Linked DNA regions of Xenopus tropicalis. The protein of the gene in region 2 purifies or fractionates together with the protein of the main gene of each other region. This does not show direct contact. Links are inferred from orthologs where the notes say so. Each region holds a gene or a part of one and is shown on either strand. Other genes may lie near its edges.

Region 1 (4,308 bases), on a different chromosome or scaffold from region 2:
TCAAAGGAGAAAAGGCACAGGCACATAGCAGATAACAGATAAAACACTATTGTATTCCACAGAGCTTATCTGTTATCTGCTATGTAACCTGTGCCTTTTCTCCAGCTTGAATGGCTGCCCCCCATGGCTACACAGCAGCTTATTATATAAATTATAGTAGTGTTACTGTAGCAAACACACCAGTTTTACCAGTGCAGGGCAACAGTGCATTATATTTTTATTACTTTAAAGCTCTTTCATTTTTTGGTGTTACTGTTCCTTTAACCTTCAAAGCCCTCCATTCCTCTGCTCCTCACTACATCTCTTCCCTTGTGTCTCTGTATGTTCCTGGCCGACTCCTTCGTTCCTCACAGAGCGATCGTTTGGTTGCGCCCCCCACTACTACTGCTGTTTCCCGCCTTAAACTTTTCTGCCTTGCTGCCCCTTACATTTGGAATGCCCTCCCTGATTTCCTCCGAAGAGAATCCTCCCCCAGTCTTTTTAAAATTAAACTTAAAGACTACCTTTTGGAGCACTCACCCAGCACCTGATCTGGGAATCAGCACTTATATTGTAGTGTCACCCACTGTGACCTACAGCACTTATAGTGCATTTGCCTATTTGTGTCTGTAAGTTACCCTCCCATATAGATTGTAAGCTCTACGGGGACCTCCATCTTCTTGTGTCTTTGACTCTTAACTTATTGCAACTGTATTTATCTTGTATCTATCTGTATTTATTGTTGTACTTTGTATTTATCTATTATTTAATAATCCCCTGTTTGTATTAATGTATTGTACTGTACAGCGCTGCATACATAAGTAGCGCTTTATAAATTAAGATATACATACATACATACATACTTTTCACTATATGAACAGGTTGCAGTCAATATGCAAACGGTTTGAACTACTACAAACAAATAAAATACCCTTCATGTATACTACAGTAGTTTATCTATGTTATGCTTTTATTACAAATAAATATTTCTGTAACACTGAACATGTGATCTGAATGAAACCGTTAGCACTGCTAGCTGCTGCTGCTACAAAGCTAAAGAAGAATTTAACTCATTCTACTTTTTTATTAATAAATACATACCTGATGCAGACAAGGCCAGCTGTAAAACACAAACATAACATCAGAATACAGAACACAATGCAGTTTTAACGATCAGCGTTGTTATATAAACACACATACAGAAACTACAAGCAGTGGCATTTTACAAGCGTCTCTTCCATACAATACATATAAACAAAATCTGTTTACACTAACAAATCAGTGTTTATACTTTGGACACATTATCTGTTTAGCCTTGCGGTCGTTTGTGAAAAAATATTCATTTTAAACATATGAATCTGAACATACTTTGCGTTTTCTGGCTTAAGCCAAGTGAGTTTTAATGATATAATGAAATATGTAAAGCAAAATGCACTTTCTTTGGCTAAGACAAAAAACAATATTGTACCAGCTGTGCTTACAGGTTCTATTGGAATATTTGTGCTTAAAATGGCTGTGCTTGCAGATATAGCCTAGTTTATAATTCAATTGTAGAATTATGAAGACATTGATTTTCTAGAACAAGCATCAAAGGATCCTCTAATTGTCACCTTTAATTTCAAGCATCTACAGGGCACAGGCACATATGTACCAGCAATGTAGAATCTGCAGTTCCAGGGTTTCAGTTTAATCCAACAACACAAATCATGGCGTGGATCAAAGGGGCTCAATAAGTGAAAGGATTAATATATTCACTGTAAGATTGGGTTAAACATAGAAGATTGCAGGGTACAGTGAAAATACATCAAGAGAACCTGTTAAAATTTGCTTATAACAAGATTACAAAATGTCAAAGGGGAACTGATGCAAAAATAAAAATCAGCTTTATCTTAAGAAAATATGATTGGTCAAAAAATATATTTTGTACTATTTCTTTAATATTTAAGTTACTCTTCAGTCTGTTTTTTTTGTTCATGGAGTAGTCAGTGAGGACTAATTCATCATTGGGGATGCATTCCAATTGCCTAAAGGAAATCACTCTTTCAAAATAACCAACTCGCACACAATCTTGATCCTCTACATGAATTATTTGTGCTTAAGTCTGCTTTTATGAAAGAATTAACTCAAATACATCTTCTATGGCAGGCAATGGGAGCCCCACCCAATAGCTGTATTAAACATGATTGTCAATCATAATCAGACTCCTGCTTCAAGAAAAAAAAAAAAACAGAAAACATTGAAACAATGTAACAGTAAGGTCTCCATTTTTATTTTATTTTATTTTATTTTTTTAAATCATTGCAGACAATTTTCCTTTTTTCATTGCAAAAAAATAGTTTTTGTATGGAGGCAAATTTTAATACGTTTAGAAGGTTTGTTTTTCATGACATGCAACTTATATTGCATTTTAGTTACCCTTTAACATGCTGTAGCTACAGGTCACATGATATGGTTCTAAGAGCATTCAACACATTCCAACTAGTACTCTGGGCCTCATTCTTTCCCCTCATCCAATGCTTTGAGTCCTTTATAGGGGAACAGTTTCAGTTGGGGTGAAGCTTTCCTGAATATTTCGGTCTTGTACTTTACTGATAGCTTTCTGACCGTAGCCGAACCCCCTAACAATGCATTCCTACAGCAAACTAAATACATACCCACTGAAGGACACAGTCTCAGCAAAGCAGAATTAACAAGCTTAGCAGAGACCTGCCTACAGGGCAGACACATCACATTCCACTCACCAGTACAAATGCCCACACACGCTGACAACAGGTTCCCGCGCTGTCTCCAAGCAGATATTACACTCATAAGCCGCACCGGGGCTGCCAGCAGCCGCCGCCATGGCAACCGATCAACCGGAACCTAGCTGTGCAACTAGCGGAGCGTCACGGGAAAGGTTAAAGAGTGTATTGGACGCAAAGATAAACAAATCTTGTGTGTGATAGGGTGGACAAGTTCTCCATCACAATTATGCACCCCTATTGGCTATGCACTTTCTAGTTAGCTGTCAAGCAGTCAAAATGCTGATTGGTGATACTAGGATAATACGTGACATCGATTGGTTGTAACTCCCGTCACTCAAATGCTGACGACACCTCTTGTCTCGGATAACCGTTATGACGCGGCGTCTTGCGTTCGTGCGGGAGTGGAATACACGTTCCGGGCCCACAGGGTTTTTTTTTGTTGTAGGTTAAAAACTTTATTCCTTGTTAAAAGAAGGCAATAATGAACAATCCTTATTTGTAATCGGAGGTGAAGACTGTTATGGTAAAATTATTCGAGTAGAGTTACCAGCAGTGATACGTATTTTATAAACTACCGGATAACAATATATTTTATTGAAACTTGTGCAATATTATGCGATAGTTTCATAAGTGATGTGTTTAGAGGCCTGTCACCGGCAAAATCTGCAAGCAAACTTTGTATCTGTGCTATTAACGCTTAAGTACACACACATACTTCCACCCAGCCCTATATTATATTTATAGCTTTTACTTTGTAAACGGAAGATTCTGTTGGTTATATTTAGCATCGTTCAGACTGTAGGTCGGAAAACAAAATCGATGACTGGTTTTTTTTGGTGGGGGGAGGTGGTTTTCTATGTTTTTTCCTTTAGTGAATTTTCTTCCTACTAAAGGCAGTACTGATTCAAATTTATATATTATTATTTATTCTAAACCAGTTCTTGAAGCAACACCAAGCCTGACTTCCAGGCTAAATCTTAGTTCCCTGAGAACAAGTTTGATAAACCCTGATTAAGATATTTTAAATGTAAGTAATAGTAGTAAGAATGCAGGACAAAATGCCATATATTTAGTTCCTATAATTTTGTAGATGACAGTTTTTTGTTTTAATAACTATAGATACAATAAATGCATGTGTTTTCCTTTAGTAAGGTTACTGTATTACTGTAATAAATACATTTTTTGTTACTTAGAATCTGAAGATAAGTGGTTCCTGTATAATGAAACCATACAGAAACAACTCTTAAGGTGGCCATACACGGGCCGGTTGTAGCTGCCGATATCGGTCCCTTAGACCAATTCGGCAGCTTATCGGCCCGTGTAGGGGCAGGAACAACGGGCGACCTCACCAAGCGAGCGGATCTTAACATGTATGGTCACCTTTAGGGTAGTGGCACTTAGAGTCAGGCCAGGACTGGCAATCTGTGGATTCTGGCAAATGGCAGAAGAGCTGCTGCAAGGTGACAGACCATCGTTATCTATTGGGCTTTCTGGGAGCAGTTTGGGCGTCTCTGTAGTTTAAATTCCCATACATATTTTGAATTCCAGTCTGGACCTTATAGGAGTGCCACATTTAGAAGCAGGT
Region 2 (3,563 bases):
AGCCACCCAGTAGGCTATATCCTTACCAAGCAAGCTCATAAGAAGTCTTTACTGATAGGAGAAAGCATTTCAACAAAATGCAAGATGCTGATGGGGGGGCTGTGTGGGCCTGTGTGTACTTGGAATGTCAGGGCCTGTTTTGGCCCTTGGATTTATACCCCAGGGCCTTGGTGTTCTACCCTGTTTCCTTGCTGTTCTTCTCCAGTCCCTTGTTATTCTACCATGGTGCCAGGCCCAGACTGGCAATCTGTAGATTCAGGCAAACACCAGAGGGGCTGCTGTAAGATGCCATAGACAGTCACTATTTATTGGGCTGGGGGGGCTGTTTGGGCCTCTGTGTACTTGGAATGCCAGGACCCAGGCCCAGACTGGCAATCTGTGGGTTCAGGCAAATGCCAGAGGGGCTGCTGTAAGATGCCATAGACACTCGCTATTTATTGGGCTGGGGGGGCTGTTTGGGCCTCTGTGTACTTGGAATGCCAGGACCCAGGCCCAGACTGGCAATCTGTGGGTTCAGGCAAATGCCAGAGGGGCTGCTGTAAGATGCCATAGACACTCGCTATTTATTGGGCTGGGGGGGCTGTTTGGGCCTCTGTGTACTTGGAATGCTGGGGCCTATTCTGAATCCCAGTCCAAACCTAGTCTAACAAAATGCAAGTCTACTCCCATGAAAGCATGGACTGTATTGTCCCATCTCAGCCACTAGATGGAGCAGAACAAAATCAGTTTTTGGGTGGAGATGCAGTTTATTTGTCAATATCAGATCCTCCGTAGTTGGAGAGCAGCTTTCAGGACCAATTTATTTGAGCCTGTCTATTCATATTTCAGCTAATGCCACATGGGGCCGATTCCTGGCCTCAGAATAAACACAGTCCTGTGCTGACATCAGCCTTTACCGATGCGCCTGCATCTGAAACCATTGTGTCAGCCTGGGTACAAGAACATGGAGCAGATTTTGGCCCCAAAATGCGCAAGTATGCATAAATCAGGGCAAAAATCTACTCTGTGTGCCTGCACCCAGACCAACGCAACGGCTTCAGATGCAGGCACCAGGAAAGGCTGATATCAGCACAGGGGCTGATTCTCAGGCTGCGTAAAGCTCCCTATAGGTCATGAAGATCATTATTCATGAATAGGTTTGCTTTTGTAAGTAATGGTTACATGAAGTTCCTAAACCTGACTGTTTTGCCAACCTGTCACTTCTCAGCCTGTCAGTTATAGCTTCTAATGCTAACGGCCTACTGCTGCACAAATATGGCCGCCCCCTCATAGAGCAACATGGAGGATCAGATAGGGAATGTAAAAGCATCAGGAATTACTTTCATGGCAAATTTATAAAGCTCATGCAAAGACAATATTATGATATATTTAAAAACAGTTTAATTTGAGGTTTCATTATCTCTTTAAATGAAAAAGGTAATATTAGGATAAAGGCATGCTATATCTGAGTATTTGAGGACAAAAAGGAGGCCGTTTACCTTAAATCTTGTGCCAAACCAGAATGACACAATCATGTCTCTGTTGAGCTGGGCCCAGACATACAGAACCGACATGATCAGGGGGATCATCAGCAGCTGTAACATATAAACAGGACATGTTATATACACATCCACACGTATATTCTCCTTACCCCTATCCATGTACCAAATGATCAAATTAGCCCAATTAGGTGGCCACCTAGAAGATTTGCTCGTTTGGCGACCTTGTGTATGTATATGTGTATGTATATGTGTATGTATATGTGTATGTATATGTGTATGGCCACCTTGAGTCCCAATCACATGCACACACAATGGTCTAATGGCAACCAATCAAGAGTTAGTCTGTCCTGCCTAGGGCAATAAGGGTAATGACAGATGGCATTTGGGCAGTTACTACAAACCCCCTTAAAATATTATTATTACACTGCTATAGATTAGTGAATGCAACAAATGTGCCTGTACTTATGAATACTGGTTCCCTGTGGGAACTCCAAATGGGGAGTGTTGTTGCCTTGCAGTGTTGGGGTTGTGGGTTTGTGGCCTGGGCACTGCAAGGAGTGTGTATGTTCCCCCTATGTCTGAGTGGGTTTCCTCTTGGTACTCTGGTTTCCTTCCACACTCCAAATACATACAGGCAAGATTCCTGTTGCTAGGAAAGCTGCACTGGGCAACGTTTTGCAAAGCAACAAAAATGGGGGGAAACTATGCTTTTCACATTAATACAGTCCTTTTGCCTTCAGTGCAGAAACAGAAGCACTAGCAAATGATTTCTTTCAACCTTACCTGCATGTTCATTATGACTCCAGTTATCTTAGAGTGCCGTTAAAGAAAATAAGACTATCATCTACTGACTGCCTAAATATGACTTCATTTGTACAACGCCCCCTTCTGTATACTGCTGTATGGCGCCCCCTTGCTTATTGCCAGGTCAAGTCACTTCGTACCTTATATCAGTTCCATTACATGTCTATCCCCCCTTATTATATGTAATAAAAGGCACTAAGTTTGCCCAGGAGCAGTAACCCATAGCAACCGATAAGATGTTTACTTTTAAACAGGTGACCAGTTAATTCCACCTGTTGATTAGTTGCTGTGGGTTACTGCTCCTGGGCAAACTTAGTGCCTTTTACTACCTCTGTATAAAGCCGCCCACTGGTATAAGAAACGCCTGTTATTCACTAAGGTGACAGATCAAATGATCACTGATTTGTATGACCTTAGTCTTAGCATGATACACACAAAAGCTAACAGTCACACCCATGATTAGTTGGCATGTGTAACTGCCTTATTTGCCCATTGTTTATAAATAAGCCCCACTGGGGTGTTGTGCCTAGCAGCCCTGAACTAGCCCTGCTAGTTGCTCAAAATTATATTTTCTTTTATTAGGCAACATTTTATTTTTGGGTTTATATCCCCTTTAACGGGAACAACAAAACAGCTTCAACGTGCAAAATTGTACTTAACTCTGCATTAACCTTTTTAAAAATTTTACTCCTGGTGACCACAATGGATAATTCACATTACTGGATGTTTAAGGAGAACTAAAGCCTAACAATCATGGCCAGAAGTATTGTATATTATATACTAAACTTCAGCATCCCAATAACAATAATGATCCAGGCCTTCAGTCTCGTCCTCAGCAGCTCCCATTGTTGGATCTTGTTAGGCCATTGACTGTGTGTCAGTGGCACTGCACATGCTCAGTGGGCTCTGGGCTGATGTTGAGAAGCCAAGTTTAGGGTTGTTGCAAATTATCGGGGAGAGAATAAAGTTTGGCTGCCATAGAAGCTGATGCTACAAGGCTGATTATTAAATTCTGATACAAACTGCCCTGGATTGTGAGCTGTAATGAGAATCTGAACAAATGACTAATAAGCCTTGTAATGTAAGATCTATATTGTAAACCAGTACCTAACCTCAGGTAAGTGCCAGCAGCCCAGAGCATGTACTAGGAATCAGCAGAAAAGAAGATGGGGGGCTACTGGGGCATCTTTAAAAGGTACAGATCTTCCCTGCTAAAGGGCTGTGGTTGCCCAATCATCCACTACAGAATGCTTCATGATTCGCTGACAGATTGTACAG
Region 3 (4,244 bases), on a different chromosome or scaffold from region 2:
ACTTAAGTTATGGAGATTCAGATTACGGAAAGGTCCCTTATCCGGAAAACCCCAGGTCCCGAGCATTTTGGATTACAGGTCCCACACCTGTATTTTAAAGTAATCAAAATATAATGTATTGTGTGCCCTGCACTGGTAAAGTTGATGTGTTTGTTTTAGAAACCTTACTATAGTTTTTATAAACAAGCTGCTATGTAGCTACAGGAACAGCCTTTCAAAGGAGAAAAAGCGCAAGTTGCATAAGAGATAAGCTCTATAGAATATAATGGTGTTCCACTGAGATCTGCTATTTAACCTGTGCCATTTAGCTCTATTCCAATTGCCTCTATTCCTACACAGCAGCTTTATTTATACAAACTATACTAAGGTTTCTAAAGTAAACAGATCAGTTTTGCCAGTGCAGGGCAACAGTACATAATATTTTAATTGCTTTAAAACATTTTTTTTTGGTGTTACTATTCCTTTAAAGATTATACATGAACATAACCCTGCATAACATGTGCAAAGCTTGCTCTGGTGCCGACTCAGCAATCACACAGCAATTACTTTAAGGCTAGTGCCACACGGGCAGATTCTCGGCCTGCAGGTAAACACGGATCAAGAATCCACCACGTGCTTGAAAAATGTAATTGTTTTGGCTGCACCCAGAGACATTGGGGGAGATTTATTAAGACACGAACGCTCTGAGCGTATTTTTGCCGTTTTTTTCCCGCTTGCACAACTTGATTTGGAAAGGTTCTGCCGCTGTTTACAAACGTTCGGTGCAAAAATTTTGTGACTTTCGGATCGCCAATACGATATTATCATGACTAATAAGATTTTTTCGTAAGCATTTTCGTGATATTTGCGATCTTCAGAAATTATCGTATCCAATCCGAACTTTTGGATTTTTTTCGGGATTCGAACTCGTGTTTTAATAAATCGGCCCCATTGTGTCAGCCTGGAATTTGGCGCAAAACTGCTTGCGTATGTCTAGTGTGAAACAAGCCTAAGTCACTGTAATAGAGCTACAGAAATGTCAACTAACCCAAAGTTATTTGGGTGATAAAAAATCAGTTTGGGCATTTCACGGATTTCCCATTAAAGGTGGCCATACACGTAAAGATCCGGTCGCCTGGCAAGGTCGACAAGCGAGCGGATCTTCTCCCGATATCCCCACCTATGGGTAAGCAATCGGGCAAATTTAGGCCCTAGGGCAAAACGATCGAGTTGTAACGACGGCGAAGTCGGTTAGGGGAACGCAACAAGGAGCCAATGCAGCCCCCGATGCGACTAAATTTTTTAACCTGCCCAATCGATATCTGCCCAATTTCAGGTCAGATATCGGTCGGCATGCCTGTCGTTGCTGCCCCTACATGGCCCGATAAGCTGCCGAATCAGTCTAAGGGACTGATATCAGCAGTTACAATTGGCCTGTGTTATGGCCACCTTTAGAGGGGAAAAAAAAAATCCATTATTGTTTAATCAAAAATACATATCAAAAATAATGACAGCAAACATTTTACTGGTTGTAGTTTACGGGCAAATGTAGCCTAGTCTAATACCTAGTAACTTGGGACCCACATCTGTAAAGTACAACAGAAGACTTATTTGGCTGTAAGCTAAATGCCTAGGCATGAAATTTGCAACCGTGCCCCCACCCCCCAGTAATTATGCCAATGGACTTATTTAATCAGAAGATATGCACATGCTTTATGCCACACACATAACACTGCTAAGAGTCTAAAGGTCCCCATACACTATAAGATCCGCTCGCTTGGCAATGTCGCCAAGCGAGCGGATCTTTACCCGATATCCCCACCTACGGGTGGGCGATATCGGGTAGCAAGTTGCTTAAAAAAAAATAATACGATCATTTGGCCCTGGGGCCAAACGATCGGATTACATTTGCGGCCATGGGCAGTCGGTTCGGGGACTGCATCAACGAGCCGATGCGATCCCTGATCCGACTGGATTTTCTAACCTGGCCGATCGATATCTGCCCAATTTCAGGCCAGATATCGGTCGGCCAGGCCGCTCGTTTCTTCCCATACACAGGCCGATTAGCTGCCGAATCGGTCCAAGGGACCAATATCGGCAGCTTCTATCGGCCCGTGTATGAGGGCCTTAAGAGAATTTGACACTCACTTATGGGGGGCAGGAGATTGTTTTGGCTCCAATAAGGACTAATTATATCTTAGTTGGGATCAAGTACATGGTACTGTTTTATTATTACGGGGAAATTGCAGGGTTCTGCTATATGTCCCTGTGGCCTACAAAGCCTCCAGAAGGGAAGTGAAAAATATGGGGTGAAGATTTATTTGCTGCTCTGATGTTGCCTGGAGCTATGGCTGAATTGCTGAGACAGCAAAAATGTCCCTGCGTTACCCTGTACAATGATTCTCCCTTATGCCAGTTTACAACTCTGAAACAGTCATGGTTTAATGCCATGGGTTGACGTGAATTTCAGGAATTGTACTTTAAAATCAGCTAGAGATGTCAGCCGTAACCGTGCCCAGGGTGCCACACTCACCCACACCCCAAGACTGTCAGAGACCAGGTACCGGAACAGCTCAACTAAGTCCACGGGCTCAGGTGGCAGCTGTGCCCCAGCTTCCTCTCCTTCCAGCATGCTCCGTTCTGCCGCCTCCCCGCTCAGGCTCCGATAGGCGCTTAGCAGGCTGAGGCCCAGCAACAGGCCGCTCAGGCCGGTGTAAGTGCGCAGGCTGGGCCAGGGGAATCGCTCCAGGAATAACAGCGGCATCTTGCCTTAGTCCAAAGGGCCTGTCACACCGAAGGGAGGGCCCGCCGCGGGTGGGAGCAGCTCGCACCGCTTGCTGCTGGCCCTATTTGGACGCTGTGGTCTAGTAGGCTTTGCCCGTAGCCATTACAGCCCTACTTAGTGTGTGTTCTATACGTCTGTGCCCCCTGCCGGCCGCCAGACGCATGACTACAAGCCAGGCATATCCAACCCGTGGCTGCCGGAACTGCAACTCCCAGCGCAGAGCTACGTAGCCTGCTGGCAGTGTTGAAGTTTATCTACACACTGACAAGCCCTAGCCTGGTTATCCCTGTTCTAGAATCAGGTTTAGCACAGGGTAAACAAGCCTTTTCAGCAACATAACGAGTACCCTGAAACAGTACCCTGACAGTATGCTTGGCCTTTACTTGTGTTTTAAATGTGTCTAGCCTTTCCCTGAAATTTGTATTTTGTAATGGTTCAGCATTGAGCCCTTTCTTTCCATTAATTGCAAATGTCTGTTTCTTTCAGTCTTGAAATATACAGATAAACATGAACGGATATCAGTGGTAAATGGAACTGGAACAGTAGGAATCAGCAAATTTGCCCAGGTATTGATCTGTTTGGATAGAGATTGGCCATGAACGTTGATATCTGTAAACTGCCTAGCGATGCGGTACACATAATATTGTGTATACTGTTCTCTTTATGCAACACCTTGGCCATAGGAAATACTTCATGCAATCGCGAGGTCGGCAAGGAGGAAAACTTTTTTCCAAACATTAGTTTGCCTGCCTAATATCTAGGCATTATATGTTGAAGAAATTCTGTCAAGATTTTTATAGTATAGTTTTTTTTTAATTAATAAAATAATTAATAAATAATTAATAATATAATTAATTTAATATAAATTACACTGTGTACAGTGCAAATAATTAATTCTACCATTAAACCAATACATTTTTTTGTTGTTGTTGTAATATTGGTGCCTGAGTCTAAACTTTCAGAAGGAGCCAGCGCTACATAACAGGACTGCTTTCAGATAACCTATTGATATGGCTGGACTTGAGTGTTTTAGGGCCTGGGCACAAAAAGCTTTTGGTCCGCTTCTCTCAGCCTGCATTTTTCTTCGCCCCCGTATATCACTCTGTGAACCTGCACTTTAAAGTACAGCTTCCTTCTGAGTGCAGGTGCTTGAAACAAGGCCGGAACTAGGGGTAGGCAGAAGAGGCAGCTGCCTAGGCCGCAACAATTGGGGGGCGCCAGGCAGGAGCCTGTCCTGCCTACCCCTAGTCTGTGCTGTGCTCTGGTTTCATTGACCCCGGCGTTTGTCATTACGCGGCGGGGGTAATGAACTATCGGTTCGCATCTCACACCCCCCCCCGCCGAACTGCGCATGTGCGCCAACACGGGGGGGGGGGGGGTGAGATGCGATAGCGCAGGTGCTTGAAGCGGAGGTCACACTAAAAACTCCTGTTGCAGTGTTTTTCAGGCCAACCTCTGCTCCATGTACCTGTCCTCCCAC

Evidence for each region. Proteins that work in one complex are often made in the same cells at the same time.
Region 1: the proteins of derl1 (region 2) and rnf5 purify together in Homo sapiens (affinity purification with western blotting; 4 studies listed by BioGRID and IntAct, with this or other methods). This does not show direct contact. The link is inferred for Xenopus tropicalis from reciprocal best matches to the Homo sapiens genes DERL1 and RNF5.
Region 3: the proteins of derl1 (region 2) and amfr purify together in Homo sapiens (affinity purification with western blotting; 4 studies listed by BioGRID, with this or other methods). This does not show direct contact. The link is inferred for Xenopus tropicalis from reciprocal best matches to the Homo sapiens genes DERL1 and AMFR.

What each region holds. Positions count from the first base shown.
Region 1 is NC_030684.2:73,547,182-73,551,489, forward strand, and holds the start of rnf5 (E3 ubiquitin-protein ligase RNF5), read right to left. Parts: upstream 2,835-4,308; 5' UTR 2,822-2,834; coding exon 2,721-2,821; intron 1,100-2,720; coding exon 1,081-1,099; intron 1-1,080. Other genes in the region: agpat1 (1-acyl-sn-glycerol-3-phosphate acyltransferase alpha), read left to right, coding at 3,062-3,164. UniProt on the Homo sapiens protein: Membrane-bound E3 ubiquitin-protein ligase that mediates ubiquitination of target proteins. May function together with E2 ubiquitin-conjugating enzymes UBE2D1/UBCH5A and UBE2D2/UBC4.
Region 2 is NC_030682.2:139,688,726-139,692,288, forward strand, and holds part of derl1 (derlin-1), read right to left. Parts: intron 2,292-3,563; coding exon 2,265-2,291; intron 1,575-2,264; coding exon 1,479-1,574; intron 1-1,478. UniProt on the Homo sapiens protein: Functional component of endoplasmic reticulum-associated degradation (ERAD) for misfolded lumenal proteins. Forms homotetramers which encircle a large channel traversing the endoplasmic reticulum (ER) membrane.
Region 3 is NC_030680.2:51,715,420-51,719,663, forward strand, and holds the start of amfr (E3 ubiquitin-protein ligase AMFR), read right to left. Parts: upstream 2,835-4,244; 5' UTR 2,744-2,834; coding exon 2,513-2,743; intron 1-2,512. UniProt on the Homo sapiens protein: E3 ubiquitin-protein ligase that mediates the polyubiquitination of lysine and cysteine residues on target proteins, such as CD3D, CYP3A4, CFTR, INSIG1, SOAT2/ACAT2 and APOB for proteasomal degradation.